7 linked regions of the Macaca mulatta genome follow. The protein of the gene in region 5 interacts with the protein of the main gene of each other region in a pairwise test. Links are inferred from orthologs where the notes say so. Each region holds a gene or a part of one and is shown on either strand. Other genes may lie near its edges.

The links.
Region 1: the proteins of EMD (region 5) and TRAF3IP3 interact in binary tests that used the Homo sapiens proteins (3 or more experiments, as listed by UniProt). The two-hybrid records come from large-scale screens. The link is inferred for Macaca mulatta from reciprocal best matches to the Homo sapiens genes EMD and TRAF3IP3.
Region 2: the proteins of EMD (region 5) and FATE1 interact in binary tests that used the Homo sapiens proteins (3 or more experiments, as listed by UniProt). The two-hybrid records come from large-scale screens. The link is inferred for Macaca mulatta from reciprocal best matches to the Homo sapiens genes EMD and FATE1.
Region 3: the proteins of EMD (region 5) and CREB3 interact in binary tests that used the Homo sapiens proteins (3 or more experiments, as listed by UniProt). The two-hybrid records come from large-scale screens. The link is inferred for Macaca mulatta from reciprocal best matches to the Homo sapiens genes EMD and CREB3.
Region 4: the proteins of EMD (region 5) and LUZP4 interact in binary tests that used the Homo sapiens proteins (3 or more experiments, as listed by UniProt). The two-hybrid records come from large-scale screens. The link is inferred for Macaca mulatta from reciprocal best matches to the Homo sapiens genes EMD and LUZP4.
Region 6: the proteins of EMD (region 5) and ABT1 interact in binary tests that used the Homo sapiens proteins (3 or more experiments, as listed by UniProt). The two-hybrid records come from large-scale screens. The link is inferred for Macaca mulatta from reciprocal best matches to the Homo sapiens genes EMD and ABT1.
Region 7: the proteins of EMD (region 5) and TRIM42 interact in binary tests that used the Homo sapiens proteins (3 or more experiments, as listed by UniProt). The two-hybrid records come from large-scale screens. The link is inferred for Macaca mulatta from reciprocal best matches to the Homo sapiens genes EMD and TRIM42.

Annotation. Positions count from the first base shown.
Region 1 is NC_133406.1:67,527,516-67,531,218, reverse strand, and holds part of TRAF3IP3 (TRAF3-interacting JNK-activating modulator), read right to left. Parts: intron 3,387-3,703; coding exon 3,315-3,386; intron 993-3,314; coding exon 852-992; intron 744-851; coding exon 606-743; intron 1-605. UniProt on the Homo sapiens protein: Adapter protein that plays essential roles in both innate and adaptive immunity. Plays a crucial role in the regulation of thymocyte development.
Region 2 is NC_133426.1:157,951,442-157,955,928, forward strand, and holds the start of FATE1 (fetal and adult testis-expressed transcript protein), read left to right. Parts: upstream 1-1,620; 5' UTR 1,621-1,708; coding exon 1,709-1,814; intron 1,815-2,856; coding exon 2,857-2,984; intron 2,985-4,487. UniProt on the Homo sapiens protein: Involved in the regulation of endoplasmic reticulum (ER)-mitochondria coupling. Negatively regulates the ER-mitochondria distance and Ca(2+) transfer from ER to mitochondria possibly implicating it in the regulation of apoptosis.
Region 3 is NC_133420.1:63,959,701-63,961,950, forward strand, and holds the end of CREB3 (cyclic AMP-responsive element-binding protein 3), read right to left. Parts: coding exon 2,198-2,250; intron 2,108-2,197; coding exon 2,039-2,107; intron 1,390-2,038; coding exon 1,305-1,389; intron 1,208-1,304; coding exon 1,123-1,207; intron 1,042-1,122; coding exon 707-1,041; 3' UTR 685-706; downstream 1-684. Other genes in the region: GBA2 (non-lysosomal glucosylceramidase), read left to right, coding at 1-264. UniProt on the Homo sapiens protein: Endoplasmic reticulum (ER)-bound sequence-specific transcription factor that directly binds DNA and activates transcription. Plays a role in the unfolded protein response (UPR), promoting cell survival versus ER stress-induced apoptotic cell death.
Region 4 is NC_133426.1:121,839,343-121,843,816, reverse strand, and holds the start of LUZP4 (leucine zipper protein 4), read right to left. Parts: upstream 2,904-4,474; 5' UTR 2,858-2,903; coding exon 2,767-2,857; intron 1-2,766. UniProt on the Homo sapiens protein: Export adapter involved in mRNA nuclear export in cancer cells. Binds and enhances the RNA-binding activity of the nuclear RNA export factor NXF1. Can restore mRNA export function in cells compromised by loss of mRNA export adapters.
Region 5 is NC_133426.1:160,532,441-160,536,748, reverse strand, and holds EMD (emerin), read left to right. Parts: upstream 1-1,431; 5' UTR 1,432-1,529; coding exon 1,530-1,611; intron 1,612-1,734; coding exon 1,735-1,839; intron 1,840-2,004; coding exon 2,005-2,082; intron 2,083-2,296; coding exon 2,297-2,430; intron 2,431-2,884; coding exon 2,885-2,934; intron 2,935-3,018; coding exon 3,019-3,346; 3' UTR 3,347-3,753; downstream 3,754-4,308. UniProt on the Homo sapiens protein: Stabilizes and promotes the formation of a nuclear actin cortical network. Stimulates actin polymerization in vitro by binding and stabilizing the pointed end of growing filaments. Inhibits beta-catenin activity by preventing its accumulation in the nucleus.
Region 6 is NC_133409.1:156,468,547-156,472,759, forward strand, and holds ABT1 (activator of basal transcription 1), read right to left. Parts: upstream 2,682-4,213; 5' UTR 2,675-2,681; coding exon 2,434-2,674; intron 1,751-2,433; coding exon 1,554-1,750; intron 1,401-1,553; coding exon 1,020-1,400; 3' UTR 508-1,019; downstream 1-507.
Region 7 is NC_133407.1:43,688,664-43,692,366, reverse strand, and holds part of TRIM42 (tripartite motif-containing protein 42), read right to left. Parts: intron 2,401-3,703; coding exon 1,703-2,400; intron 1-1,702.

The sequences.
Region 1 (3,703 bases), on a different chromosome or scaffold from region 5:
AGGCATTGTGCTAAGTACTTTACATGGATCATCTTACTTAATACTCAGAACAACCTTATGATGTAAGTACTATTATCCTCATTTTACAGATGGGGAAACCGAGTCTTAGGACAGATTGAAGATGATGGAACCCTTGAGGATGCCAGGAGTCTAATTGTAATTGCTAAATGTAATTGCTTAAAAAACACATTGGCAAAAAGTGTTAGTTAGTACTCACCTGTAAATAAATTAGTGACATTTTTTCTGTGCCAACAGTGGGCAATTCTGAACTGGATGCTTTTTTGGGATGGAGTTTGGAGAGTGGGTTGGGATATGACATTAGTAGGCTGATATATATTCCAGCCAGTTCTTTTCATTTGGATGGTGATGGTGTCATTCCAATGAACGCTTAGTTCATTTGCATGAGCAGTGCAGACATCCTTGCTAAACTCGAAATTAAATTTCAGAGCCAAAACAGTGAATTTGGTACAAAGTAGGTGGTGACTGAGGAACTGAAAGCCAGATGCTGTCAGCTGCCTTTGGAGTCCCTAATCCAGAAGAGCTTCTTCATCACCACCCCTCCTCCCCATACCCTGTCTTCCCTCCCCACCCCCAGTGCCTGGTACCTGCAGTTTGGACTGAAGCACGTTGAGTTGGCTCTCCAGCTCTCTGTGCTGGGACCCAAGGGTCCTCCAGTCCTCCTTCAGAGCCTCGTACTGGCTCCTCCACTCTTCACACTTCTGCTCTGCCAGGGCCAGGGATCGCTGAGGGGGGTCAGAGAGGAGAGGTTCCAGGGAGCTGTGCAGCTGGCTCCCTTGTTCCCCAAGCTGCCTGGAGTCCCCAACCCCAAGGTCTGTGTGGCATCCCCATACCTGTGTGCTCTGTAGTTGCTGCTCTGCGTTCATTTTCTCCTCCAGCACTTTCTGCAGTGACTCCTTGGCCTTCTGCTCATAGCTGTTTTTCTGGTCTTCCATCTCCAGTAGTACTTTTTTCATTCCCCAAGGGGAGTATTTCTGTAAATTTGATGCAATTCAACAAATACACATTGAACTTCTGTGTGCCAAATCCTGAACTGGGATACAGAAATGAAAAGAAGTTGGTTCTTCCCCCAGGCAGAGATACCAGTAATCTAGTGAGCCTTTTCTTTTAGGGTAGAGCTAGCAGGGAGAGTCCCTCAGGCAATGAGAGATGAGTGGGGGGGTATAATAAACAGTGCCCTAGGCTTGCTGGGCATTATATCTGAGGCCTTCCACAAGCTCTTGAAATCCAACATGTCTAAACAGGACTCATGTTTCTAAACAAGTTCTTTTTTCTTGGGGTTCCTATCTCAGTGACCAGAATCATCATCCATCTAGTCTTTTCCAAACCCTAAACCAGGGAGTCAATCTTCATTTTCTCTCTCATTTCCTTCCAGTAATCAGTTGGTCATTGAACCTTGACAGTTTCCTTCATAGTTCATATCTGTCTCCTCTCTATCCCTACTGCTGCTTCCTTAGTTCAGGCTCTAGTAGTAGTGTTATGTGGATTAATGCAACAGCTTCCCTTTCTTCAAATCTTGCCTCCCTTCAGTCCCTTTTCAGTCCCGCATTTAGAAGGTTCTTTCTAAAATGCAAATCTGATCTTGCCACTTCCTGCATAAATTCTCCATGGATTCTCAGCATCCTAAGAATCACATCCAAACTCCTTGTCATGGCTCCACTTACATGCCTAGACTTTCATCCCATGCTACTTCCACCTAAGCTGAGATGTTTGCAGATCCCCTAGCACTCTGTTTTTTTGGCTTCTGCCTTTACCCATATAGCTTCTTCTGCCTAGAACTGGTTAACTTCTACTCACACTCAAGATTCAGTCCAGTATCATCAGTTCTGATAAATTGACCAACTGCCCCCATCCCACAATGTCTTATAGATTAGGCAGCTTTTCTTAGTGTTCATAGTGTTCACATAGTGTACCCTGCATGCCTCTATTATTCTACTCTGTTGACTCATCTGTTTTTCCTACTGGATTGTAAACTCCTTCAGGGAGGGAGCATACTGCTGCTGCTTTAAAAAAAAATCACTGTAGCTTCTCTACAATGCCTAATGAACTTAATGGTTTAAAATTAATACATTCGCGTTATAAAATTCCTCCTGGCTGCAGGATTAAGGAGACACAAGTGCAGCTTTGCACATTCACTGGGGGTCTTGCCTTCTCCCTTTCTTTCATCTTTGTGTCCTGTGATTTCGGAGAAGGCAGGCAGATTTTACTGTCAATTCTGGATTACCCACTGTGTAAGCAGTAGACCAGATGACAAAAATTTAGGGATCAATATGAAATCATTTCCATTTAGCTTTGGAATTGTCTGAAATTTTGGATTTAAATTTGAGTGGGTCTTATAGTTTTGGAACTTTCATTAAAAACTAGATTCAGGAATTAACCTGGTTGAGGTCATATGTAGGGGATGTCCCAGTTATTGGACATCCAATGACCATCCATGCTGGGCACTGGTTATGTGTTATTCCTTATTGAAAATGAATAGATTGGCGTTCTGGATTATATATTGGTCTCTTGTGAACTTGGTTGGCATTATTTAGTCCTGTCAAAGCAAGTCATACTGAATAAATGAAAGTTGTGGACCAAGAAACTTATAGACTCCATAAACTCTCTTCCCCTGTGAGACGCCATCTATGTGGCCAACTGTCTTCTCTCTCTAACTCCAGATGGGAGAAGTCTGCCTGTTCCGCCCCATTCTCTTATTTGACATCTTCCCACCTGTCAGGTATCCATCACTTCTCAAATGTGAAAGCTGATTTCTTTCTATCTCTTGTAAACCAAGATTAGGCCAATCAGGAGATTACTAATGCTGGAAAATGGTGTTACAGAAGAGCCAAGTAAAAGAGCTTTTACATTCTTCTAGGGGTTGCTAGAAAAAACAAAAAAAGTTGCCCATGGAATGAAAATCATTTTCTAAGACTTCGTTATAACATCTAACTCATCTGTTCAAAGATTAGGATGTGTAAAGATCTGTCTGGGTGTTGTGAATCTTTACCAAGGGCCTTTCCCTACAGTTTCAGGTATTCTCAAGGTTCCCCTGGAGCTGACAAAGTGGTTAGTGCTGGGATTCCTCCAGGGTGCAAAGAGAAGGATACTGGGAGAAAGGGAGAGGAAGAAGGATGGAGACAGTGATCTAGTGAATTAGAGACTAAAGTGAAAATGGCCAAGCCAGAACTGGGTAAGTAGGAATGGGTGTGTTATTCTCTATCTGGTGGCATTTCTCAAAAGTAAGATTGAGGTTCAAGCATTCTTCACATTTAATTCTAGATTCCCGAGACGGAAATATCCTTCAGAATGCTTACCTGGGTACAGGTGTACAGCTGGTTTTCTAAGGATCTCAGTTTCCCCTTCAGTTTGTCTTCATTAAGTTGTCCCTGGAGCAAATGGGATGAGTTAATGAGTGTGGGCCAAAATCTAGTCTGCAAAGAGTTTGACTCTATATTCCTATCCTACTGCCCAGCACATGGTTGATGCTCAAACAGTGAACTCTTTCAGGAGGCAGGCAGGAGCAAATATGACAAAGGATGCTGAATAGAAGAGGATCTTCTCTTCTTTCTCTAGACTAGGACAAGAAAGAATCAGACTGGCCTCAAGTCCTCTTTTTACCTCCATTTTTATCAAATGGCTCAGGGTAGCATAGCAGGGGAGCCCTGGAAGGAAAGCTTCTAAGCTACCCTTTCGCTCACTACCT
Region 2 (4,487 bases), about 2.6 Mb from region 5:
CTGAGCACACTCAGTAGTTTCTCTGCTCCCAAGGTGGCCCTCCAGAAAGCTCAAATTTCATCGCAGCTGCTCCACTAGATCTGGGAAGGGCTTCTTTGGGGCCCCCAGGAATGCAGGCAGGGCCTATATCAGCTCTGCTTCCCAAGAGCTCGGCCCCAGCGCTGGACAGGTGAGGTGGGGGCAGGGGACAGGCAGCCTCAGACCATGCTGCCCTATCTCAGCTAGTTCTGACCCCTTCCTTTGCACTCCCTCTCCTTCCTTCCTTCCTTCCTTCCTTCCTTCCTTCCTTCCTTCCTTCCTTCCTTCCTCTTTTCCTCCTTCCTTCTTTCCTTCCTTCCTTCCTCCCTTCCTCTTTTCCTTCCTTCCTTCCTTCCTTCCTTCCTTCCTTCCTTCCTTCCTTCCTTCCTTCCTTCCTCCCTTCCTCTTTTCCTCCTTCCTTCCTCCTCTTTATCCCACCTGACCCAAGGGCTCTGGGGGAAGAAGAGGCTATTTCTAAAAGGAACGTTTTATAAACCTGTCCTGATTCCTTTCACAAATAGCCTCCTATTCCCCCAGGGGCTCTGGGGTTGTTTCCTAGAATGAAGGGTTCACCATAGGTCGTGTAGCAATCAGTGTTTTCCAGAGAAACAGAACTGATAGGATGTATATATGTATGTATGTATGTATGTATGTATCTGCATATGCACAAGTATATATACATTTATTTTAATAAATTGACTTATGCAATTGTGGGGCTGACAAGTCTGAAATGTGCAGGGCAGCCTGGCAGGCTGGCAACTCAAAGAAGAGTTGACACTGCAGTCCTGGGGTAGAATTACCTCTACTTTGGGAAACCTCAGTCTTTGCTCTTCAGGCCTCTCAGTTGATTGTGTGAGACCAACCCACATCATCGAGGATGTGTCTCTACTTTACTTCAAGTCCACTGGTTGTAGATGCCAACCACAGCTACAAAATGCCTCCACAGCAACACCTAGACTAGTGTTTGAAGGAGTCACTGGGGACTAGAACCTGGCCAGGTGACACATAAACCTGACCATCACAGTGGTCTAATCAGTAGGGAAACTGAGGGAGAATTGGGACTTAGAAGGTGCAAGGCCTGAGGCCCCTGGGAGTTCTAGTGGCTGCAGTCAGGTCCCACCTCTCTTACCCTTCTCTCCCTTTGTTCTCATGGCTCCTGCCTAGTCTGACCTACTTCAGAAAAAGGCTACCTCCCATGTCTGGGGACTCTGGATGGGGGAGGTAGGATATGCTCTCCAGAGAATCCCTTCTGAAGGTGTGGTATGGCCTGGATTGCTAGGACCTAACTCTGCTGTAGCCACTGCCTGGCTCTTGGACCCTGTGCCAATCCCTGTTTCTTCATAGAAATGATGGAGGGTAGACCCCACCCTTCCCCCCATGGGCTAAATATGGAGATTTATGAGCCAGAGCAGTTCTCACAGTCAAAGGCATGGAATTGTATCTCTTCTCCTAAGTTGCTTACAGAGTAGCAAGGAGAAGGCCACGGACCTAGCCAACAAGATACAATAGAAACAGAAAGTGCTGAGTCCAAGGCCTCAGCCTAGAGAGGGAGTCTTGCTCCACCCCCAGGTCTGACTATATCTTCCTTGAGCTCCTGTTCCAGGAAGAGGTGATTTTCTGAGTGTGACTCCTCTGTTCCTGGCACCCTGTACATCCTTAGCCATAGCTTACAAGTGAACAGCTGGTTGTGATGGCAGGAGGCCCTCCCAACACCAAGGCAGAGATGGAAATGTCCCTGACAGAAGAACTGAATCATGGACGCCAAGGGCAAAACCAAGAGCACCTGGTGATAGCGGGTGAGGATCCCCTAAAATACCCCTAGGCTACAGCCAACTGTGTAGATACATGTCTGTACCTGTGCATGTGTGTGTTGGGAAAGGTGCATGTGTGCATGGAAGTGTTTGCACATCTGTGTGTTGGGCGGGCTTTGAGGATTTGTGGGTTGATGGTAAGGGATCTAGGAGAAAAGGGATAGATGATGTGAGCATTTTGCCCTGGGAGGGAGGAGGATGGGAACAACATGTGTGGTCCCTCTGTCTTCCCCTTGTCCAAGCCACCACAGTGTCTGTTGCAAAATACTCAGAGGGCTCAAATTATGAGACCAGAGATCAATTCTCTCTCCCAACCCTCGAATTCATTTTCCTGCCATTTGGAGGAAAATCCAGACTCCATGATCTATAAGATTGTATCAGCCTCCTCAAAACATTTCATACTATGATATAGACAGAAAATACCATTTCTATAGCACACAAAGGGATCCAGATCACATTGCATTTATGTTTGTTCTTACAATGCTCCAAGCCTGCTTCTTCCCCAAAGACCTTGCATTTGCTGTTTCCTCTGTCTGGAATGCTCTTTCCCTCAATTTCCCAGGGCTGGGTCCTTTATTTTTTTCAGGTCCCTGCCTCAATTGTTGTCTCCTACTTTTCTAGAAGGAGCCCTTTCCTTCCACTATGTTACCCTGTTTTGATCATTTATGGAGCCTGCATCTCTCTGTCTGCATTTGCAAGGATAGACCTTCTGTTTTACACCTGTCATTCACTCTTATACACAAAACAGATGGTCAGTTCCTTGATAGCTGGAATCTTGTTCTTGGTCATTGCTCTCTAGATTACTGGAGAGTAACCTAGTCTCGAGCTGAGCCCTCAGGATTCTTGTTTAACTTTTGAACAGATGAACAAACTGAGACCTGGGATCAGCTGGTGGACAGTGGTTAATGGGTGCTGAGTGATTCCCAAGAAAGCTGGGGACTCTGTCTTCTTTTTGGTGTGTTTTGTGCCCAAGAAGCCCTGGTACAACTTCTATGGGTGCTCCTGGGGTCTCTGTTCTTCTCTCTAGAAATGATGGAGCATGGATCTCGGTCCCTGGGTGCCTCCCAGAAGAGGCAGAAGTTGGAACAAAAAGCTGCTGGCTCTGCTTCAGCGAAACGAGTTTGGAATATGACTGCCACCCGATCCAAGAAAATGGTACTGCATGGGGTCCTCAGCACATGTTGGCCAGGTTGGGGTTGGGAGTACTGGTTGTAGGGGCTGTAGCCTGACCAGGTCAGGCAGGGCTAGACATTGACTTGTGAGGAGGAGGAAGCTCCTGTATTCCAAGCTGGCAAATGAGGACAGAAAGGTCAGGGTCATCCTTTCCTATGCTTGGGATGCAACCTTGGGAGTTCAGAACGCCTGAAACAAATATTGCATGGGGAGTACATAAATATTTCACTCTGTAAATCCATTGTGTGAAATAACGCTTCCTGTATTTAAAATTGTGTGTGTGGTGCGTGTGTGTGTATACACACAATAACTCAGGTGAGGCTCCTACGCTTTCTGGCTGTTAAGAAATCCAGTCAAGTCGTCTGGCATGGTGGCTCATGCCTGTAATCTGAGCACTCTGGCAGGAAGAGGTGGACGGATCACTTGAGGCCAGGAGTTGGAGAACAGTCTGGCCAGCATGGTGAAACCTTGTCTCTACTAAAAATACAAAAATTAGCTGGGCATGGTGGCACATGCCTGTAATCACAGCTACTCAGGAGGCTGAGGCATGAGAATCGCTTGAACCTAGCAAGCAGAGGTTGCAGTGAGCTGAGATCATGCAACTGTACTCCAGTCTGGGCAACAGAGCAAGAGAAAGAAAGGAAGAGAGAGAGAGAGAGAGAGAGAGAGAGAGAGAGAGAGACAGAGAGAGAGAGGGGGAGAGAGAGAGAGAGAGAGAGAGAGAAGAAGGAAGGAAAAGGAAAAGAAAGGAAAGAAAGAAAGAAAGAAAGAAAGAAAGAAAGAAAGAAAGAAAGAAAGAAAGAAAGAGAAAGAAAGAAAGAAAGAAAGAAAGAAAGAAAGAAAGAGAAAGAAAGAAAAAAGAAATCCAGGAAAGTGAATCTGACCATTTTGTAGCCAGTCCTTTTAAGCTACATTCGATATGGGTGAAGGAATGTTTTAGAATAAATAGTGGCTATACTGTTGCAAATGATATTGGGAAAACACAGTCATTTTGGATGGGGAGGGAAGCCTGACTATTCTAGAGAATTAAGTGAGTCCCACAGTTCTGTAGCCAATCATTTTAGCTAGCTAAATTCACTGTGAGTAAGGGAAAGTTTTACAAAAATTGTTGTTATGCTGTTGCAAAGGCTGCTGGGAAAAGGCAACAAGATTGGAGAGGGAGGGAGGTCTGACTGCTCCAGGAAATCATGTGAGTCCCACAGTTCTGTAGCCAATTCTTTAAGCTACATTCATTGTGGGTGTTGAATCTTCTAGAAAAATGCTGGCCACATTGTTGCAAAGGATACTGAGCCATTTTGCAGAGGAGGTAGACCTGACCGTTTTAGGGAATCATGAATCCCATAATTGCGTAGCCAATGTTGTTCACCACATTCAGGTGGATGAGGGAAAGCGTTAGAAAATGGTGGTTTTACTGTTACCACAGTAAAGTTTGAAAGTTATTGGGGGGCAATAAGGTTGGAGAGGGAGGGAGACTTGATTGCTGAA
Region 3 (2,250 bases), on a different chromosome or scaffold from region 5:
GGCTTCCAGACAGCTGAAGGCTGCTACCGTACCGTGTGGGAGCGCCTGGGTCTGGCCTTCCAGACCCCAGAGGCATACTGCCAGCAGCGGGTGTTCCGCTCACTGGCCTACATGCGGCCACTGAGCATCTGGGCCATGCAGCTAGCCCTGCAACAGCAGCAGCACAAAAAGGCCTCCAGGCCAAAAGTCGAACAGGGCACAGGACTAAGGACAGGGCCTATGTTTGGACCAAAGGAAGCCATGGCAAACGTGAGCCCAGAGTGAACCGTCTGAACTGTGGGAGGAAAGCACTAATAGCCCAGCCTCCAGCCTGGCCTTTCCTCCTTCCCCTCTGAACCTTCTGCAACCCTGAGCCATCAGGACAATCATACCCCTTCCCTTCTCCCCACCCAGTTGTGCCAGTAAATGGGGGTTGAGGGTGACCTAGGCAGCATTAGAATCACTTATTTATTTCTTTCCTCACCCGTTCCCTCACTGCATGAAATGTTCAGGGAGGTCAGTTGATTTCCCCAGGTACATTCATGGGGTGAGACACATGGGTACAAATAAAAGACCCAGAAAGCCAGTAAGTGTGGTGTGTTTGAGCCCTCAGTCCTCCTGATAGGGCATAGGAGCTGCAGCCAGCCCTCGCCCACCCCTTTTTATTTGGACACAGATGGGGAGCCCCACAAGCTCTTGCTGAGACCCCCCCCACATATCCTCATATCTAGCCTGAGTATCTGTCCTGCAAGATGACAGAGGGGCTACCGGTAGGAAGCCATCCCCCCTTCCTTGTGAGATTTGCCTGCAGGGGGAGGATGGGACCTCGGCAGAGAGGCTCTGAGAAGAGGTCAGGGAATGGCCACTCCAGGGGAGGCTCTGCACTGGGAGCCTGAGGCATGTAGTACAGTAGGCAGGAAGAGTTGCCAGGGGCCTGGAGTACGTGGTCTGAGCTGTCCAGCCACTGGTGTGTGCAGTCTTTTGGCACCTCTGACTGCAGGGCAGGCAACTCCAGCTGGTAAGGGTTCTCACTGGGGAGGGCACGAAGCTGGCGGGACAACACTGAGGAGACAAAGAATCTTCAGAGGCCAACCCAGGCCTCTCCCCTTGCCCATGTCTGAGAGCTATCCTTAAGCCTCTTACCTCCATGCTCAGCTGGCAGGCTCCCCCTTGTGTCAGAGGAGTACATAGCAGGTACAAGGAGGAGGCAGAAGGAGACTAGTAGGACCTACAGCAGAGGAAAAAGGAGATGAAGAAGGGCTCTGGATTGCACAACTGTCCCCAGCAACTGAGAAAAGAATTTCTCCCCTCATCACTATCCTCACCAAGATGCAGGTGCTGCTACTGCTCGTTTTGTTTGATATCTCAATCACCATGGCCTGGAGTTTCCTCAGTTGATGCAGAAGGGACCTAGAGGAAGAGAGGGGCCAATGGTGAGCATCCCCTGGCCTAGCACCCTGAGACACAGTGAAACTCCTGTTCAGGCCACCTCCTCCATCTCTGCACTGGATCCTCTCTCTTACTTTTCATTCTATTTTTGCAAACGACTTCTTCCACTCTGGAAAAAATGCCTGAAGTTCCTCATTAAAACAAACAAAAAAAGCAAAAACAAAACAAAACAAACTCTTCCAGGACTTAACCTCCTTTGCAAATATCATCAGTAGTTCCCCATTGTCTGATCAGCTATGCACATAATCCTCACCGGGCATTCTCTACGTTCTCTACCTTCTGTCCCAGCTCACATGTGTTCCAGCCCAAGAGGACTATGCTGGGCTAATCCTCTTGCCTAGGATGCTTTCTCTCTGCCTAGAATGCTTTCCCAACCCAACCCCAGAATCCTATGAAAGCCCATGAGGTCTTTCTTACCCCCTTTCTTTTTCTAGGTACTTAGCTTATTCTCAGTTACTTATAAATATATTCCCCACTACTGTGAGCTTCTTAGAATCAGAGACCTAGTGAAGGCAGCCACCCTGTTAGAAATCAAGTGTAGGGCAGGGGAAAGAGTGAGAAAACATTAAATGAGGAGCGTAGGAAGGGAATGGTTTGGAGGGATACTTACAAATTCTGTTCCTCCAGAAGCTGTACTTTGTTCTGAAGCTCCATATTCTGGGCTGTGTATTTCAAGACCCTGGGGGAAATAACAAAGATATGGGGATATGGCCTGTGTCCTCCCTTCAAAAACCTAACACTTAAAACTGAGTCCCTCTCCCTTTCATACCTGCTCTCTAAACCCCCAACATACACCTTCTTTTTCCTGCGGCTCTCTTGAGC
Region 4 (4,474 bases), about 39 Mb from region 5:
GAGCAATTAGTCAAAAAGAACAAAAGACAAGCAGATTAGAAAAAAGTAAAACTATCTCTGTTCTCAGATATCATGATCTTGTATGTAGAAATTCCTAAAGATACACACACACACACACACACACACACACGGAGATTAGCACTAATGAACACGCTCAGCAAGGTTGCAGGATACAAGATCTATATGCAAAAATTAATTCTATTTATATATACCAGCAATTAACTATCCAAAAATGAAATTAAGAAAGCAATTCCACCAAGAAGAGCTTTCAATGGAGGAAAATTAGTCTTTTTAACAAGTAGTGCTGGAACAATTAGACATCAAAATGCAATATAATGAAGTTGGCTCTTAACTCACCCCATATACAAGAATGAACTCAAAATGGATCAAAGATGTAAATGTAAGAGTTAAAACTAGAAAACTCAGAAGGAAACAAGGGTATATCTTCATGATTTTCTAGAAATGACTCCAAAGCATGAACAACAACAAAAAAACAGATAAATTGTATTTTATCAGAATCTGAAACTTCAGGACTTCAAAGGACACTATAAAGAAAGTTTAGGCCGGGCGAGGTGGCTCACGCCTGTAATCCCAGCACTGTGTGAGGCCGAGGCAAGCGTATCACTTGAGGTCAGGAGTTCAAGACCAGCCTAACCTCTGCCTCCCACGATTACAGGCATGAGCCACAGCGCCCCTCTTCATTTCAGTACTTTTTTTTTTTTTTTTTTTTTTTTGAGATGGAGTCTCACTCTGGCACCCAGGCTGGAGTGCAGTGCCGCGATCTCAACTCACTGGAGCCTCCACCTCCCGGGTTCAAGCAATTCTCCTGCCTCAGCCTCCCACATAGCTGGGACTACAGGCACACAACACCATGCCCAGCTAATTTTTGTATTTTTAGTACAGATGGGGTTTCACCATGTTGGCCAGGCTGGTCTCGAACTCCTGGCCTCAAGTAAGCCGCCCACCTCAGCCTCCCAAACTGCTGGGATTACAGGAATGAGCCACCAAGCCCAGCCAAACTTCTTCATTTCTATGGTACACTCTCCCTCCACTTATCCTGCCCCTTTTAAAGTTCAGCCCTCCCTGCTCTGCTCCCCTATTCTCATCTCTAAGGTGAACCCTCTTTCCACTGTTCCATCCATTTCTAAGGTCCGCCCTCCTTGTTCCTGCTTCTCCTCGCTCCACCCCTGCACTTCCACATTGAAGCTCAGCTCCCACTGCTCTGCCTCTCCCTCTCTCATTTCTAAAGTGGCCCCTGGCCAGGCGCGGTGGCTCAGGCCCACAATCCCAGCATTTTGGGAGGCCGAGCCGGGAGGATTGTTTGAGGCCAGGAGTTCGAGACCAGCCTGGGCAACATAAGGAGACCCATTCTCTACAAAAATTTAAAAATTAGGTAGGTGTGGTGGCAAGCACCTGTGGTTCCAGTTCCTCTAGAGGCTGAGGTGGTAGGATCACTTGATTGAGCCTGAGAGCTTGAGGCCACAGTGAGCCTTGATCGTGCCACTATACTCCAGCCCAGACAACAGTCCCTGACCTTGTCTCAAAAACAACTAACCAGGCTGGGGGCGGTGGCTCACGCCTGTAATTGCAGGACTTTGGGAGGCCGAGGGGGGCAGATCACTTGAGACCAGGAGACCAGTCTGGGCAACATGGTGAAACCTCGTTCTACTAATACAAAAAAACAAAAACAAAAACAAAAAACAACCTAGACGGGTGTGGTGGCATGTGCCTGTAGTCCCAGCTACTCGGGCGGCTGAGGTGGGAGGATCGCTTGACGCCAGGGGGTGGAGGTTGCAGTGAGCCAAGATGATGCCACTGCACACCTGCTTGAGAAACAGAGCAAGCCCCTGTTTCACACACAGACACACAAACCTAAATAAATAAAGTAGGCCTTTTCTGTTTTGTCCTCCTTCCCCCATTTCTACAGTTTCCTTCTTCCGTGCTCTGATGCCCCTCTCCATTTCTAAAGTCAGCTTCCATCCTCTACTCAGCTCTGCTCACTCCCTATCTGGCTTGGAAAGTCTATTCCCTCCCCTCTTCCCCATTTCTAAGGTGGATAATAGCAGAGGAACTGGTCCGAGTAAAATTCACTTTTTCTGGGTTTGGTGCGAATGGAGGAGGTTAGGGGCATTGATAAAGGATTTATTTTTTCTAAGGTTCCACTCTCCGTGTAGAGGTCTCAAGTTAGAGACTAGAGAGTGCCTGCAAAGAAAGGCGATCCAGAGCGAATAACCACCAGCCAACAAGCAAATAAACGCACCAACCACCCCTTCCAACAAAGCAGATACACCAACCCACCAACAACTCTTGGCACTACCACGCTGGAATCCCTAGCAAAATAGCCTGAGGCTTGCTCCTCCGGGCCCTGGAATCTAGTGATTTATGACATCCGCTTGGACTGAGAAGAGCACTTGGCCCCATGTGTTTGAAGGAGGCCAGTAATTAGGTATCAATTCTTGGGAGAGTAAAATACACGGAAATGGTCTATTTTCTCCGCCTGCCCCTTTCAGCAATCCTTAATCCCCACGCACTTTTTGTCAGCCTCCCTCAGAGTTCCCCACCTGAAAGGAGAGGGCTGGAGGTGAGGAGAAGAAGAGGAGAGGAGGGATAGGGGCCGGGCAGGTGCGGAGATGCCCTGAGGGGGAAGCCTCTCCTTGAAGCGGTGTGCTCCTCCCGACGCCACTTCTAGTCAGCGGTATGCCGAGGTCTTGCGCTCAAGACCAGTGAGCCCAAACTAGTGGGGACTGGGATCCGAGATCTACATACCTAGAGACATATCTAGGAAGTTAACCTTTTTCCGACTGGGACGATTTGGCGACACTTTTTCAGGAAGTGTTAGCTTCTGAAACGAAGCCATCTCCTCTGTATCATGGCGTCACACTCCGAGCTCAGGCGCGTGTACCGCCCCCTCACCGCGCGGGAGGAGCATGGTGGGCTAACCTGATCCTCCAATCATAGCCTCTTCCTTTGCTGTTGCTAAGCCCCAAGGGGTGGAGCTTGGCGTATACCTCTCACCAAGTCTCCTATCAGGAGCTTGGCTCACTAGAAAAAAAAAAAAAAAAGGAAAGACCCGCTCATCTCCCACTGCATACCCCTTTCTAAAAATATTGTCTCCACCCAGAACACTACCTAGTTGGCTACAAGTTTCTAGTGTATGTGGTGTTCCGACCCTTGCCTTTCACAGTTCCTAGAACCCATTTCTCCTCTTTGCTGTTGGCATTCATGGGGAATAAAACCTTATATTCTTGACTTAATGGGCTGGTGCTCTGCTTCTCTCAAATTCCAAGAGCGAGCCCAAATTTACATCTAGGGAGGATTCACAGGCTTGCAATGCCACATGCTTTCTTTTCTTTCTTTTCTTTTCTTTCTTTCTTTCTCTGTTTCTTTCTTTCATCTTTCATTCTTTCTTTCCTCTTTTTTTTTTTTTTTTTTTTTTTTTTTTTTTTTTACTGAGACAATCTCTCTCTGTCGCCCAGGCTGGAGTGAAGTGGTGCCATCTCCATTCACCGCAACCTCTGCCTCTCAGATTCAAGTGATTCTCCCACCTCAGCCTCCCAAGTAGCTGAGATAACAGGAGTGTGCCACCACGCTTGGCTAATTTTTGTATTTTTAGTAGAGATGGAGTTTCACCATGTTGGCCAGGCTGGTCTCCTGGGCTCAAGTGATCCACCCGTCTCGGCTGCCCTCATACCACCGTGCCCACACTTTCCCTCCCTCCCTCCTTCCCTCTTTCTTCTTCCTACTTTCTTTCTTTCCATCCACCTCGGCCTCCCTCCCTCACCACACCTGGCTATTTCTTTTCCTTCCTTCCTTCCTTCCTTCCTTCCTTCCTTCCTTCCTTCCTTCCTTCCTTCCTTTCTTTTGTTTCTTTCCCTCTTTCTCTCCTTTCCTTCCTTCCTTCCTTCCTTCCTTCCTCCCTCCCTCCCTCCCTTCCTTCTTCCTAACTTCTTTTTTTCCACCCGCCTCGGCCTCCCTCCCTCACCGCACCCGGCTATTTCTTTTCCTTCCTTCCTCTTTCTTCCTTCCTTCCTTCCCTTTCTTCCTTCCTTCCTTCCTTCCTTGCTAGCTTCCTTCCTTTTTTCCTTCCTTCCTTCCTTTCTTTCTTTTTTCTTTCTTTCCTGGATCTGTTGCCCAGGTTGGCATGCCTTAACCTCCCAGGCTCCTCTCGGGCTGTAGAGATGGGGATCTCACCATGTTGGCCAAGCTGATCTTAAACTCCTGGCCTCAAGCAATCCTCCCACCTTGGCCTCCCAAAGTGTTGGGATTACAGGCATGACCCACCATACCCGACCTGCCACATGCTGTTCGATGGCCTTAAAGTTGTGTCCATGACATTTCTTAAGAAAAATGTAATTGTTCCTGTTATCACCTAATACTGCTCAATCAAACGCTGTTTTAAAATGTTAGAGAAATCTTGTCACTGGCTCTTCAGTAGAAATAAAGATCAAATTAATACATTTTCAAAGCTGAAAAT
Region 5 (4,308 bases):
GCCACAGTTCAGGCTCCTGAGCAGGCCTTGGCAGCCTTCCATAGCTCATCACCGACGTCTGCCCCCTGCCTAGACACGCTGCCCTCAGGGACTATTCCGACAGGAGAGGACGCCCCGCTGCAGCTCCCCCCAGTGCCCCGGGTGAATGAACGGCATGAAGGATTAGGCGGGCACACGTTGTCTCTGTACGCATCGCACGGCGCCCTCTGCCCGCGCCCACTGGCGTGCCCGTCGGCATGCCCGGGCCCCTTCGAAGGCTGCTTGCTTCTGGAGTGCCAGCGGCCTCCTGGCCCAGTGCCCCATTTCCTCCCGGGTAGAGTGAGGGAGGAGGAAGGGAAGCAGAGAGGTAGGCGGTGGGAAGCAGCAGGCACATGTGCGCGGGCGAGAGCCCTGCAGACTGGGAAGAAGGGCCCGTGGCAGGGGGTCTGCGGAGATCCCATAGGCGCGGGCCTTGCCCCGCAGCCGCTTCCCGAGCAATGCGCACACAAAGCGCCCCCGGCAGTGCCTGGCCCCGGGCCCGCGCTCTCTTAGGGTCCGCTGCCGGGGCGGCCGACCGGGATGCGGCCGGGAAACCCTAGGCTCTGGGGCCCAGGAAAGGGGGGCGACGGCGGGGAGCAGGGATGTGCAGGGACCGGGCGAAGTCCAAGTGACTTAGGGACCAGAGCCACCCCAAGCGCCGACTTCGCCCGCTCGCACGTCCCGGGTCCCTAGCGCGCAGGCCCCATCCCTCTCACCCGGCTGGCTCAAGCGCGCCACAGGGTGACGTCTTGGCTCCCAGCCGTGTCGCCCTGACTCCCGCGCGGGCCCCGCCCCCTGCCGCTAGCCAATCTATGCGTTTGTGACTTTTGGGCCCGCAGCCCCGCCTACTCCCACTGCGATACCAGTTTGCATTGCCCTGACTCCCGCGCGGGCCCCGCCGCCTACGCCGCTAGCCAATCCGTGCGTTAGTGACGTGTGGCGCCCCTCGCGGCGCGGCTTGCTCCCACCGCGAGACCTTCTGCCCCGCGCCCGCGCGGGCCCCGCCTCCTCCATCGCTAGCCAATCCCCATGTTTGTGACGTAAGGGCTCTCCGCTCCGCTCGCTCCCAACGCAAGACCTTTTGCTCCGCGCCTGCGCGGGCCCCGCCCCCTCCATCACTAGCCAATTCCCGTGTTTGTGACATATGGGCTTGCGGCCCCGCCCGCTCCCACCGCGAGACCGGTTCCCACCACCCTGACTCCCGGGGGCCCGCCCCCTCTGCCGCTAGCCAATCCGTGAGTTGATGACGTTTGGGCTCGCGGCCCCAGCCTCCCAGCTCTCAAGGCCCGGCCGGTCTGTGCCGGCTACTCCCGCCGTTAGGTCCCGCCCAGCGCAGCGCGCGCAGCCTGCGAAGCCAGCGGCCGTGACGCGACAGCGATTCGGCTGTGACGCGAGTGCGGCCGCTCCCGATGCACTCGTGCCGCCCCCGCCGTGCTCCTAGGCAGCCGTTGCTCGGCCGGTTTTGGTAGGCCCGGGCCGCCGCCAGGCCTCCGCCCGAGCCCGCACCCGCCATGGACGACTACGCAGATCTTTCAAATACCGAGCTGACCGCCTTGCTGCGCCGGTACAACATCCCGCACGGGCCTGTAGTAGGTACGCGGCGGCGGGCGGGACCCCTTCCGGGCCCCCTCCTCGTGCTCCGCCCCGCGACCTCCCCGCTGCCCTCCCCGCGCCCCTTCCCCGGACCGCGGCCCTGACCGCCCCGTGTCCGGCCAGGATCAACTCGTAGGCTTTACGAGCAGAAGATCTTCGAGTATGAGACCCAGAGGCGGCGGCTCTCGCCCCCCGGCTCGTCCGCTGCCTCCTCTTATCGCTTCTCTGGTGAGAGCCTCGCCTGTGGGGACGGCCTGGGACGCGGGGAGGATGAGGTAGCGAGGGTGTGGCAGGGGTGCCGGTCGAGAGCGGCACTGGGGAAAGGGGAGGGAAGTCTTGGGGTGGGGGTGGGGGTGGGGGGGCAAACAGTTCTGTCTCCTCCTTTCAATCCAGACTTGAATTCGACGTCAGGGGATTCAGATATGTATGATCTTCCCAAGAAAGAGGACGCCTTACTCTACCAGAGCAAGGGTAAGGCAGGGGTTGGGTGGGCACGCTGGCACCTTCACCCGACTGCGTCAGGGACCCCGCTCACAGGGAGGACCTGAGACCTCAGTCCCAACCACTCCAGCAGCCTTAGGAGGGAGAAACTGTCACAGGTCCCGAAATGGGATTCAGATTAGGGCCATCGGGCCAGGCGGGGCACACCGATGCCCCCTCTGCTACCGCTGCCCCCCTTCCCAAGGCTACAATGACGACTACTATGAAGAGAGCTACTTCACTACCAGGACTTATGGGGAGCCCGAGTCTGCGGGCCCGTCCAGGGGCTTCCGCCAGTCTGTGACTTCACTCCCAGATGCTGACACTTTCCACCACCAGGTGAGCTGGTTGGCAGGCGTACTGTACTTGGGTACAACCTAGGGGATCGCGGCTGTGTTTGGATAAATCCAGGGGGCCACTGGGTACAAATGGTGGCCCTTGGGCCTCTGGGGAGACTTTGGCTCAGCAGACACCTGTTTGGTCAGGGTCCTACTTTGGGGAGCCCTCAGAACTATGTGACTAGAGCACATAGGATGCGTCCTGCACCCTGGTCTGGGATCTAGGCTCCAGCTCTTCCTGAGAGTCCTGGGGGCAAAGGGGGGTGCTGGGGCATGAGCACAAGTAGCAAGGCCCCATGGATAAAAGGCCGAACACCCAGAGTCATTCAGGAGGGTGTGGGTCCCTGGCCTTTAACCAAAGGTCAGAGGGGACCTGCTGGGGAAATTTGAGAGGGACGTGGCAGGGCCATTGTGGCCCTGCCAGCCAGTTCCCTCACCTTGACTCTCTTCTACAGGTACGTGATGACGACCTTTTGTCGTCTTCTGAAGAGGAGTGCAAGGATAGGTATGTATGTATGGGGAAGGCCAGGGACAGGGGCTGGTTCTGGACCCAGGCTCCTGGCCCACCTGTTCCCCTCTTTTGCCTCAGGGAACGCCCCATGTACGGCCGGGACAGTGCCTACCAGAGCATCGCGCACTACCGCCCTGTTTCAGCCTCCAGGAGCTCCCTGGACCTGTCCTATTATCCTACTTCCTCCTCCACCTCTTCTATGTCCTCCTCATCATCTTCCTCTTCATGGCTCACCCGCCGTGCCATCCGGCCTGAAAACCATGCTCCTGGGGCTGGGCTGGGCCAGGATCACCAGGTCCCACTCTGGGGCCAGCTGCTGCTTTTCCTGGTCTTTGTGATCGTCCTCTTTTTCATTTACTACTTCATGCAGGCTGAGGAAGGCAACCCTTTCCAGAGGGAGCCATGAGGGTCTGGGCTTCAGAGCCAGGTCTTCTGGGGAAGTCCTGGCTGACTGCCTTAGCAGTGGGGGTGGGGGTGGGGGTGGGGGCAGGGGCAGGGGCAGGGGCTTTTATGTGTTCTTGCTTGGGGGGCGCTGGGCCTAGCCCAGAGTAGTGCTTGCTCCCCCTGCCTTGTCCCACCAGGGAGGCAGCAGATTCAGGCCCTCCATGGGGGCCTGAGTGTGCTTTCCTCGGCAGCCTCCTGGCCCTGCTTGCCTGTAACCCTTAGGGTCCAGGAGGGCAAGGCCTCGCTCAGTCAGAGGAGAACATGGTTCTTGTTGTCATGCATGCCTCCTTTTTGTCATCTTGTTGGGGGGGATTAACCAAAGGCCACCCTTTGTTTTCGTGGACACACAATAAAAACCCCATTTATTTTTAATGCGTTGGCTCTTCCTGGAGGAGAGGGTTGGGCTCCCATGGCAAGGGCCTCTGCGTCTTGGGACTCGAGGATTGCAATCTGGCTTTGTTGGGTCCGCATTTTTGCTTTGGTCTGGGGATAGGAATCAAATGCTACCCAGAGATGTTTGTGTTTTGTTTGGGAGTTTTATTCCCTAACTCATTCCCCAAAGCACCTGTAACTGCTTATACATATAATTGTGGTACAACAAGGCGTATACAGAGAACCCACTTAGAAATTCAGGCAAAGCAGCCGGGCGCGGTGGCTCAAGCCTGTAATCCCAGCACTTTGGGAGGCCGAGGCGGGCGGATCACGAGGTCAGGAGATTGAGACCATACTGGCTAACACAGTGAAACCCCGTCTCTACTAAAAATACAAAAAAGTAGCCAGGCAAGGTGGTGGGCGCCTGTAGTCCCAGCTACTCGGGAGGCTGAGGCAGGAGAATGGCGGGAACCCGGGAGGCGGAGCTTGCAGTGAGCCGAGATCGCACCACTGCACTCCAGCCTGGGTGACAGAGCAAGACTCCGTCTCAAA
Region 6 (4,213 bases), on a different chromosome or scaffold from region 5:
GGTTCCAACTCAACACTCCACCCAGGAAGCATTGTTTGCAATTGTGGGAGCACTCCAGACTCTTTCAAACTTCTTCTTTATTATTCTTACAGTTATTTTGTAGGAATGACCTGGAAAACTTGGTGAGGACTGACTCACCACTGAAGACTGTGATCATCAATCACGTCCCCCTTGAGAGGGGCTCTATGACATGCTGTGGCCCCCATTCCACCCCGTATATGCATCTACCACGATGCCTATCTTATACTAGTGGCCTGTAAAACTCTTAATACTAAGATGTGTTATTACCTATTGTCATTGTTTCCTCAAACAATGGCTTAGAAAATGCTGACTTAAGATAACTAATTGATAAACTGGGCTAAGATAATAGAAATTAAATAAAAAAAAAATCCAGGTTAAACAGTAAGGTGGGTGGCGGGGGCGGGGGGGCTCTAAGATCAGGAGATGAAGGTGAACACAAGGAGATGAAAGCTGGAACTTGTCCAATGACCCTCCCCAACAAAAATAAAAAGGCATAAAAAATATTTTTATTTTCTATAAATACATTAGGAAATGTATTTCTTCCCAACTCAGTCCACGCCATTAACTGTCAATTTTTTCTACATAAAAAAGATGCTAATACCACCCTCACCTGTGACTGCTAAACAGAGAAAGATTGCCGGGATTATTGCAGGCATTATCCCCCTAGTTGGAAATAAAGGCCCGTTCCTGGGGGCAGAACGTGGGATTTTTAGGGGACCCTATAGACGTAGGCAGCCAAGAGTCAAACAAAACAAGCATATGCAATAGTCATAATCATGCTAGTATGACAGTATGAACTAGGTGACTCAGCCAGGCATATACAGGAGTTCGGAGTGAGGATAGTGGAAGCCCTCAAAACTTGCACGTTTGGGCCCTTAGCAGAGACACCTGGTCTGAGAAACACAGTAAAATGTTTGCCTGGATAGTCACGATCATTCTAGTATGAGGTAGACAGGAAGCAGAGCAGGGCTAGGAGCTGGAAGGGGCCACCCTGGCCCTCAGGAGTCCCTGACAAGGGAAGGTCCCTCCATGCTCTCTGAGGGTGGTGGGGCTCCAAAGATCCTGGCCAGGAGCCCTTTGTTGGAGCGGGCCTTGTCCTGGGCAGTCGCCAGGCGAGCCCGTTCACGACCCCCTGGCCGTGCTGCTTTCCGGGCCCTCAGTTCCTGCTCAGTAGGACGTTGCGCAAATGTCCAGGAGCCATCTGGGCGAGCAGGGTCCCCATCGGCCGCAAGAAAGCGTTGTCCCCGTTCCACACTTTGAAGATAGAAGTCGGTCTCACGCTTGGCCTGAGCAACCTCCGCTCTCAGGCGCTGCCTGCGCACCTGGCGCTCAAAGGCAAGGTGCTCACTGAGGTGGGACCAGGTGAAACGGTGCAAGTACTGTGGGCAGAAAATAAGAAAAGATCAGGATAGTGCAGATTAGGGAGAAAGATGAGACAGGGGACAAGACCAATGAGAAGCCATGGGTATACCTGGGCCAGAGCTGGGGAGAAGGGAGGGTGAGAGGTGTGGCAGAAAGATCTATCTCCTCACCTTGAGGTTCCAAAGATCATAACGGAAGGGGCTGCGCCTGCGGGCACCCATAGGCGTGTTGTGTAGACTGGCCGCCACGCGCTTGGCTATGCGCTTGTCACGGAACTCCACCCATCCCTCGGTGTAGTCCTTGCTGTAGGACCGCTTTTTTCCTCCCGCAGCTGCTGCTGCTTTCTTCTTGCGTCTCACGAACCGATCTGAGCGCCAAAGACAAAAAGACCCGTCAGGGACTATGCAGCACTCACTCAAAACCACTTCCCATTGCCCGCATCGTTCTTCACATCTGCCAGCGGGAGTTCCACCTGAGAGTTTTTGCCCAGGAGGGAGGGAACTGTAAATTGCACCCTTTCCTCTAGCTAACTCAATTATTTCCTTAATTGTCCACTCCTTAATCTGGCCGGCTTTGAACGCTATTTAACACCCGCGCAAGTCCCCAACCTCAATGTAAAATTGACGGTGGAAAGAGGAAGGGCGGTTGATCAGTTTCTTGACCTAGGCCGCGATGCTAAAGGGGTATGTTCAGTTTTGTAGAAAAGCTAACGAGGCTTTTACTCTGTTGTACTCATGTAACAAACCAGTAAACAGATCCGGAAAGAGAGGTGAGCAGGGCCGGGATAAAAACACGAATAGTAACAATCCGAGAACTAAAGAACCACCAGACGCACTGCGCTACCCACTCTCCCCATATCCCCTCCGCCCACCCACCCCAGCATCCTCACAGACTGATTCACCAGCCAGGAGCCGAGCACCGCACTCCCCACCCCCAAAATCCAACAACTCGTGCCTCAGTCTTGCGCAGCGAAGCAACAGGACATCCATGCTTGCACCCCGCCAGCGAGCGACAACCTCCTCCTTTCACCGTCAGGGTCTGCATACTTACCCTCAGCCTGAAAGAAGACGCGTCCGACCTCGCCATAGGCGCTGAGAAGGTTACGGACGTGCAGAGGACGGAAGCGCGGCGGGATATGGCCCAGGTACACAATACCTGGCACTACCCGCTTATTGCGGCCACAGGCCGCTGCTTCGGATTCCTCCTGCTCCTCCTCCGCGTCTAGTGTCTGTTCTGTCCCTTTCAGCGGCTCGTGCTCCGTTGCGGCCTTCTCCGATTCCTCTGCCTCCATGTTGACTGACATGAGCGGCACGACGGCCGTAAAGTGCCTTGCCTACTGACGCAAAACGTGTGCGACGGCCTGAGACGAGGGGGCGGGGCCAAGGCGGTGATGACAAATGAAAGGATATGATTGGCGATGCAGTCGGGTCAAGGGGAAGGCCGAGGGGAGAGGGCGGAAGTGGGGTGTCAGGTGGAAAGCCAGATTTAGAGCGTGGAAGCGGGATAGGAAGCTTGTTTTAGGTTCACAGATTCCCTGTTACATCTCCAACTCAGGACAGGCAGAACCAGAAAAGGCAGATCCCCAGATACAACCTACCCTATAGAACGCCGCTAAAGGCGGGTTGATGCCGGGTTTTTAGGGAATTTTGTAGAGCAGTTTTAGGGAAGTTTCTGTGTGTTCTAGCGATCAAAATAGCATTTTATTCGAGGGCCCTGGTTGCGATTCCAGCTGAGGAATGACTCACCTTTTAAAGTTTATACATTTCATTTAAAAGATTTGAGTTTTGAAGTTTTAATTATTTCTGGAAATTTACCTTGGAATTTTGAATATTTTAAAATTTAATTTTGAAAACGGTTAATTTTGGAAATTAGATTTAATTTTTGAAAATTTAAATTGCGAACTTTCAGTTTAATATTTTACATTTGATTTTGTGAATGTCTGAAAATTTAAATGTGTGACAATTATTTGAATAATTTGTTTGGCATCTATTACACATGTGTATTGATACATTATCCATATGCATACTTACGTTGCAAATACTTGTCAGAGGCGCACACGCCTCCAATTCTGGCGACCCCCCCGGCGGTGCGCTTAGTTCTGCCCTCCCTGGGTCTGTCCTCACAGATTCCCCATCAGATCACAAACCAATTTTCCTTCTATGACCTACGTAACCACAGAACGGACAAGGCCCCGGCGGTCCTGCTCCTACCAGGCGACCTGCGAACCATCCCTAAGCCAAGCCCATAGCCGTTTTCCCCGCGCGGGCTCGAGTCCTCAATCTCTTACCGTCGCCCGAGGGCGCGACCAGCAGGGGGCGCCGTCCCCACCCTTAAGGCGTTTCAGTTCTTGCGATCCGCGCCAGCGACAAGCTGACTGCAAAGGATATTGCTGGGAACCGAGTACAAATAATCCGATTAGCTTTCTGGAAGCAGCCCGGGGCAAGTTTGAGGACCATCAGTATAAATCCGCCCTTGCTGCGGCCTGACAAAATTTCCCATCTCGCTCCAAGAGCGCAGAGTAGCCCAGAGAATGGAAGCAGGGAGTAAATGTGTCCACTATTAAAATCAGAGATGACAGTTTTTGCCAGTCCCCAAGTATATTTCTAAAGTAACAGGGCCCACACTCTTTCATGGAGTGTCTAAAAGTCTAATAATAGATTCTTCGAATTCAAATACTCCTGTTTCATTAACTTTATTGAAGAGAACTTTCTGTCAGGTGTACACTGCTCCTTTTTTGAAGAGGGGAGGGATATAAAAATCCCGTTCCCCACATTCCTCATGATCCCTCCTCAACTTGGTGAAAATTGAGTCTCACTCGACTGTCCGTGAA
Region 7 (3,703 bases), on a different chromosome or scaffold from region 5:
AGGCTGTAGAGAGCAGCACCCTTGCCATGCTTGGCCAAAGAATTCAGACAAGCCCTGGCCTAGGGAAGCAGTGAGTCCCACCTTCAGAAAACCCTTTTGGAACCAACAGTTCTACCATTTTCTTGATAACATGTGGCTCCTGCAGGGTTCCTTTAATATGAAGTATTCCCTGGTGGTGGTTCCAGAATTAAATAAATGTCAATTGACAAGCAATGTTTCCAGGTATGTGGCAACTGAGAAAACTCGAGGTATTCCTGAAGCTGCTGAGAAGTCAGGGGTGATGTGGTCATTAGCAAAGTCTGTTTTGGATCCACCTTTATATCCAGTGGGACCTTTCTGTGCAGCTCAAGGAAAAGCTGCCTCCCTCCCAATGTATAGGCCTATCTGAATGTTGGAGACTAACAGATCTGACAATGGGAAAGGCCTGGGTTGATCTGGTGCACTTTGGTAACTGACTGCAGGCCACTCCTTAATGAAACAGACCATGGATGGTGGTGGTGGTTCCCCCTTCCTCCCCTTCAATCTCTTCATCTTCAGATTCTGGTCACTGCTTAGCACAGAGTAGATTGTCAAATAAATGTTGTGGAATTAATGGTGGACACTGGAGTCAAATAGACTGCATCTGCCACTTATTAGCTGCCTGTCCTAATTATTTTTTTGAACCACAGTTGGCTTATCCATGGAGGACATTTTAATGCCTGTACTGTAGCACTATTGAGATTAGACAAAATGTGCTCCACAGGCCTGAGTAAAGTTGGCCTTTATACAAGGAACTATTCCTGAGGGTAAAGGGCACTAAAGGAATCTTTTGGATTCTAATGTCTGACCAGGTAGAGACATACCCAGAAATTATGCGGCTCTTTGTTGAATCCTGTGAAATATGATTATACTTGGTTTTGTCACTGAAACAAGAAATTATGGGCTCTTTGCTGAATCCTGTGAAATATTATTATGCTTGGTTCCATCACTGAAACCATCACTGAAATATTATTTCACTTAAAGCAATATTATATGTAACAATATAAAACAACCAAATCACCACGAACAAGAATGCAGAGGAAAAACAAGCTGTTGACTAGAATACCGTTGGCTAGTTATGAATTGTCCCTGTTGTTATATGTTTGCTGCCAGTTTATTTACTTTGGCATCTGCAAGTTTTGGAAAAAATTCATGGAGGGAAATTTAACATTGAGATAATTCTCAGCACTGACTTAATTCTTTCCCCCTGCACATTTAGGAAAACCAAAGCGATCCAACAGTGACAGAACACCTTAGAACATCACAGAACGTCAGTATACTATAGGATCAAAGTCTTCATTTTCCAAAAGAGAAAATGAGACCTGAGGACATGCAGATTATAATCAAGATTATAGAATCTTTATGCACTTGTCATATGACTTTTTGCATTCTTTACATAGAGTAACTCACTTAATCCTCATGGCAATCCAGTGAGGGGGTCACTACTATTCCCCTATTTCATAGGTGAGAAAAGCAAGGCACGGAGAAGTTAAGTGACTGGTAGTGGTTACCAGGAGCGGACACCAGGATAGTGACTTGCAGGATAGCACAGTGTTTCCTGGTGCCTTGATTGCTCCACTAGGTGGAATCTGTTAAGGCACTCACTTAGCACATTGCCCCACGCCATCTTCCCCATGTGTTCCTGAACTAGAAGTTAGGCTGAAGGAGTGGAGAAGGGGAGGACCTGCTTTGAACTTGGCGATGGCGCTGAAGAGTGAGGCGGCCCTCTCGGAGCAGGCGTCGATGAGGCTGATGGTGTCGTGGCCATTGTGGAAAGAGAACTTGCAGAAGGTGCAGAGCAATTCGTTGTCATTGCGGCAGTACTCGATGATGCGGCTGGATGGATGGTGGATGCAGATCTTCTCGTCCTGTTCCTCGGCGCTGGTGTCCACAAAGATGTGGTCTTGCATGGCCACATCCGAGTGGAAGGCCTTGAGGCAGTCGTTGCACAGGTTGAGGCGGCAGGTGATGCAGCGCTTGTACGCTATGCGCCTATTGCGGCAGACCTGGCAGAGGATGGGCCCGGAGGAACGGTCAAAGCGCCACTTGAGGTAGCCGTGCTGCTGCATGTAGCGCTTGGTGAGGCGCCCGCGCAGGTAGTTCTCCGGCAGCTGCATCTTGTGGCTGTAGGGCATGCAGTGCGAGCGGTCGCACACTGGGCAGATGAGGATGAAGAAATTCTCGGTGACCTCGGCGTGCTTCTGCAGCTGCCGCAGGCACTTCTCACACAGGCTGTGGTTGCAGGGCAGCATGAATGAGTGCAGGCGCAGCCGGCTGCACATGGGGCAATTGAGGTGGTTCACCAGGTGGCTTTTGGCTGGTACTGATTTCACTTCATCCAGCTGGGTATCGCTGCTCCCAATGCGCAGGGCAGTCTTGGAGCTGAAAGGAGAAGCAAAGGCAGGGTTTCAGGAGGCAGGCTCAAGAGCTTGCTCTGCCTCTCTACCTCTGAAAGAACTCTTGGTTTCTGAGGGGCAGTCTAGGGTGGTGGTGAGGAGCCTCAGCTGAGTGCCAAGGTGCCTGCGTTCTCAACCTGTCTCCACCATTTTTCAGCGGGGTGACCTCAGGTAAGCCAGTTAACCTCTCGGCCTATTTCCTTGTTATAAAATTAGTACCCATGTCAGAGTTTCTTGAGAAGATTAAAATTGAGTTTAATGCTCGTACGGACTAAGAGCAGTCCATGGTACACAGTCAGTGTGCTGCAACTGCTTGCTGTTATTAAGCAAGGGAAAAGCCGCAGAGACTGGTCAGGCGTTGTCAGCTAGGCCTTGGTGTTCCGTTGGACATCGGTAATATCAAAGAACACAGTATCAGACAAGGCTACTCTGTGACTTTGGATCAAAGCAGAAACAAGGCCACTTTATAATGTTTGGACTCAGACAAGAACGTTGTCTAAATCACGAAAATGACCCAACATCCCCCTATCCTGGTTGATTTTTTTAAACCAAAAAACTGTTTTGTTTTGTTTTTTTCTTTTTTCTTTTTTTTCCAGCAGCTTTTGGGTCATTCTGTTCTTCCCACCTTCTAGATAAGATTTATTAAAATATTCAATAGATTTACTCCCGTGTCCTCACCTAACATGAGCTCAAATCCTGTAATAACTTTTCAAGGTACTTTACACTTTCCCATGCTTTATATTCTCACTTGTTGCAATGAGTCAATAAATACAATCTTGTCCAACTACAGGTGTGTTCTTAGGGCTTTTTTTTTTCCCCTGGAGGACATTGACATTATTTATTGTACATAGATGGAACACAGAGCAAGTCTGTACCTGAGCCAAGCCTAGAACCTGTGTGGTCTGCCAACCAGACCAATAGGTAATGGTAATGGATCTGGGCTTTAGAGGCAGAGCGTGTGTGATAAAAATGCACCACTTTACAGTTGTACCTTCTGAGATGTTTTTTTAAACCTCTCTCATGTTCAGTTTTCTTAACTATAAATCAAACCTCACCATACTACTTGCTTTGTGAGGTTTTTATAAAGTCTAAATGAGATAATCCATGTAAGTGCTTAACTGCTGGTACATAGTAAGCATTCAGTAAATGTGGCCACTGTAATTACATCCCTTTGCTACTAGCCAGCTAATGTCTGCAGTAGAGAGAAATCACAGTAAAGGAAAATAGTGGCCAAGTCTGTGAAAAGTATGTGCTTCTACTGTTTCATTTGTGTGTGTTAAAGCTCTCCA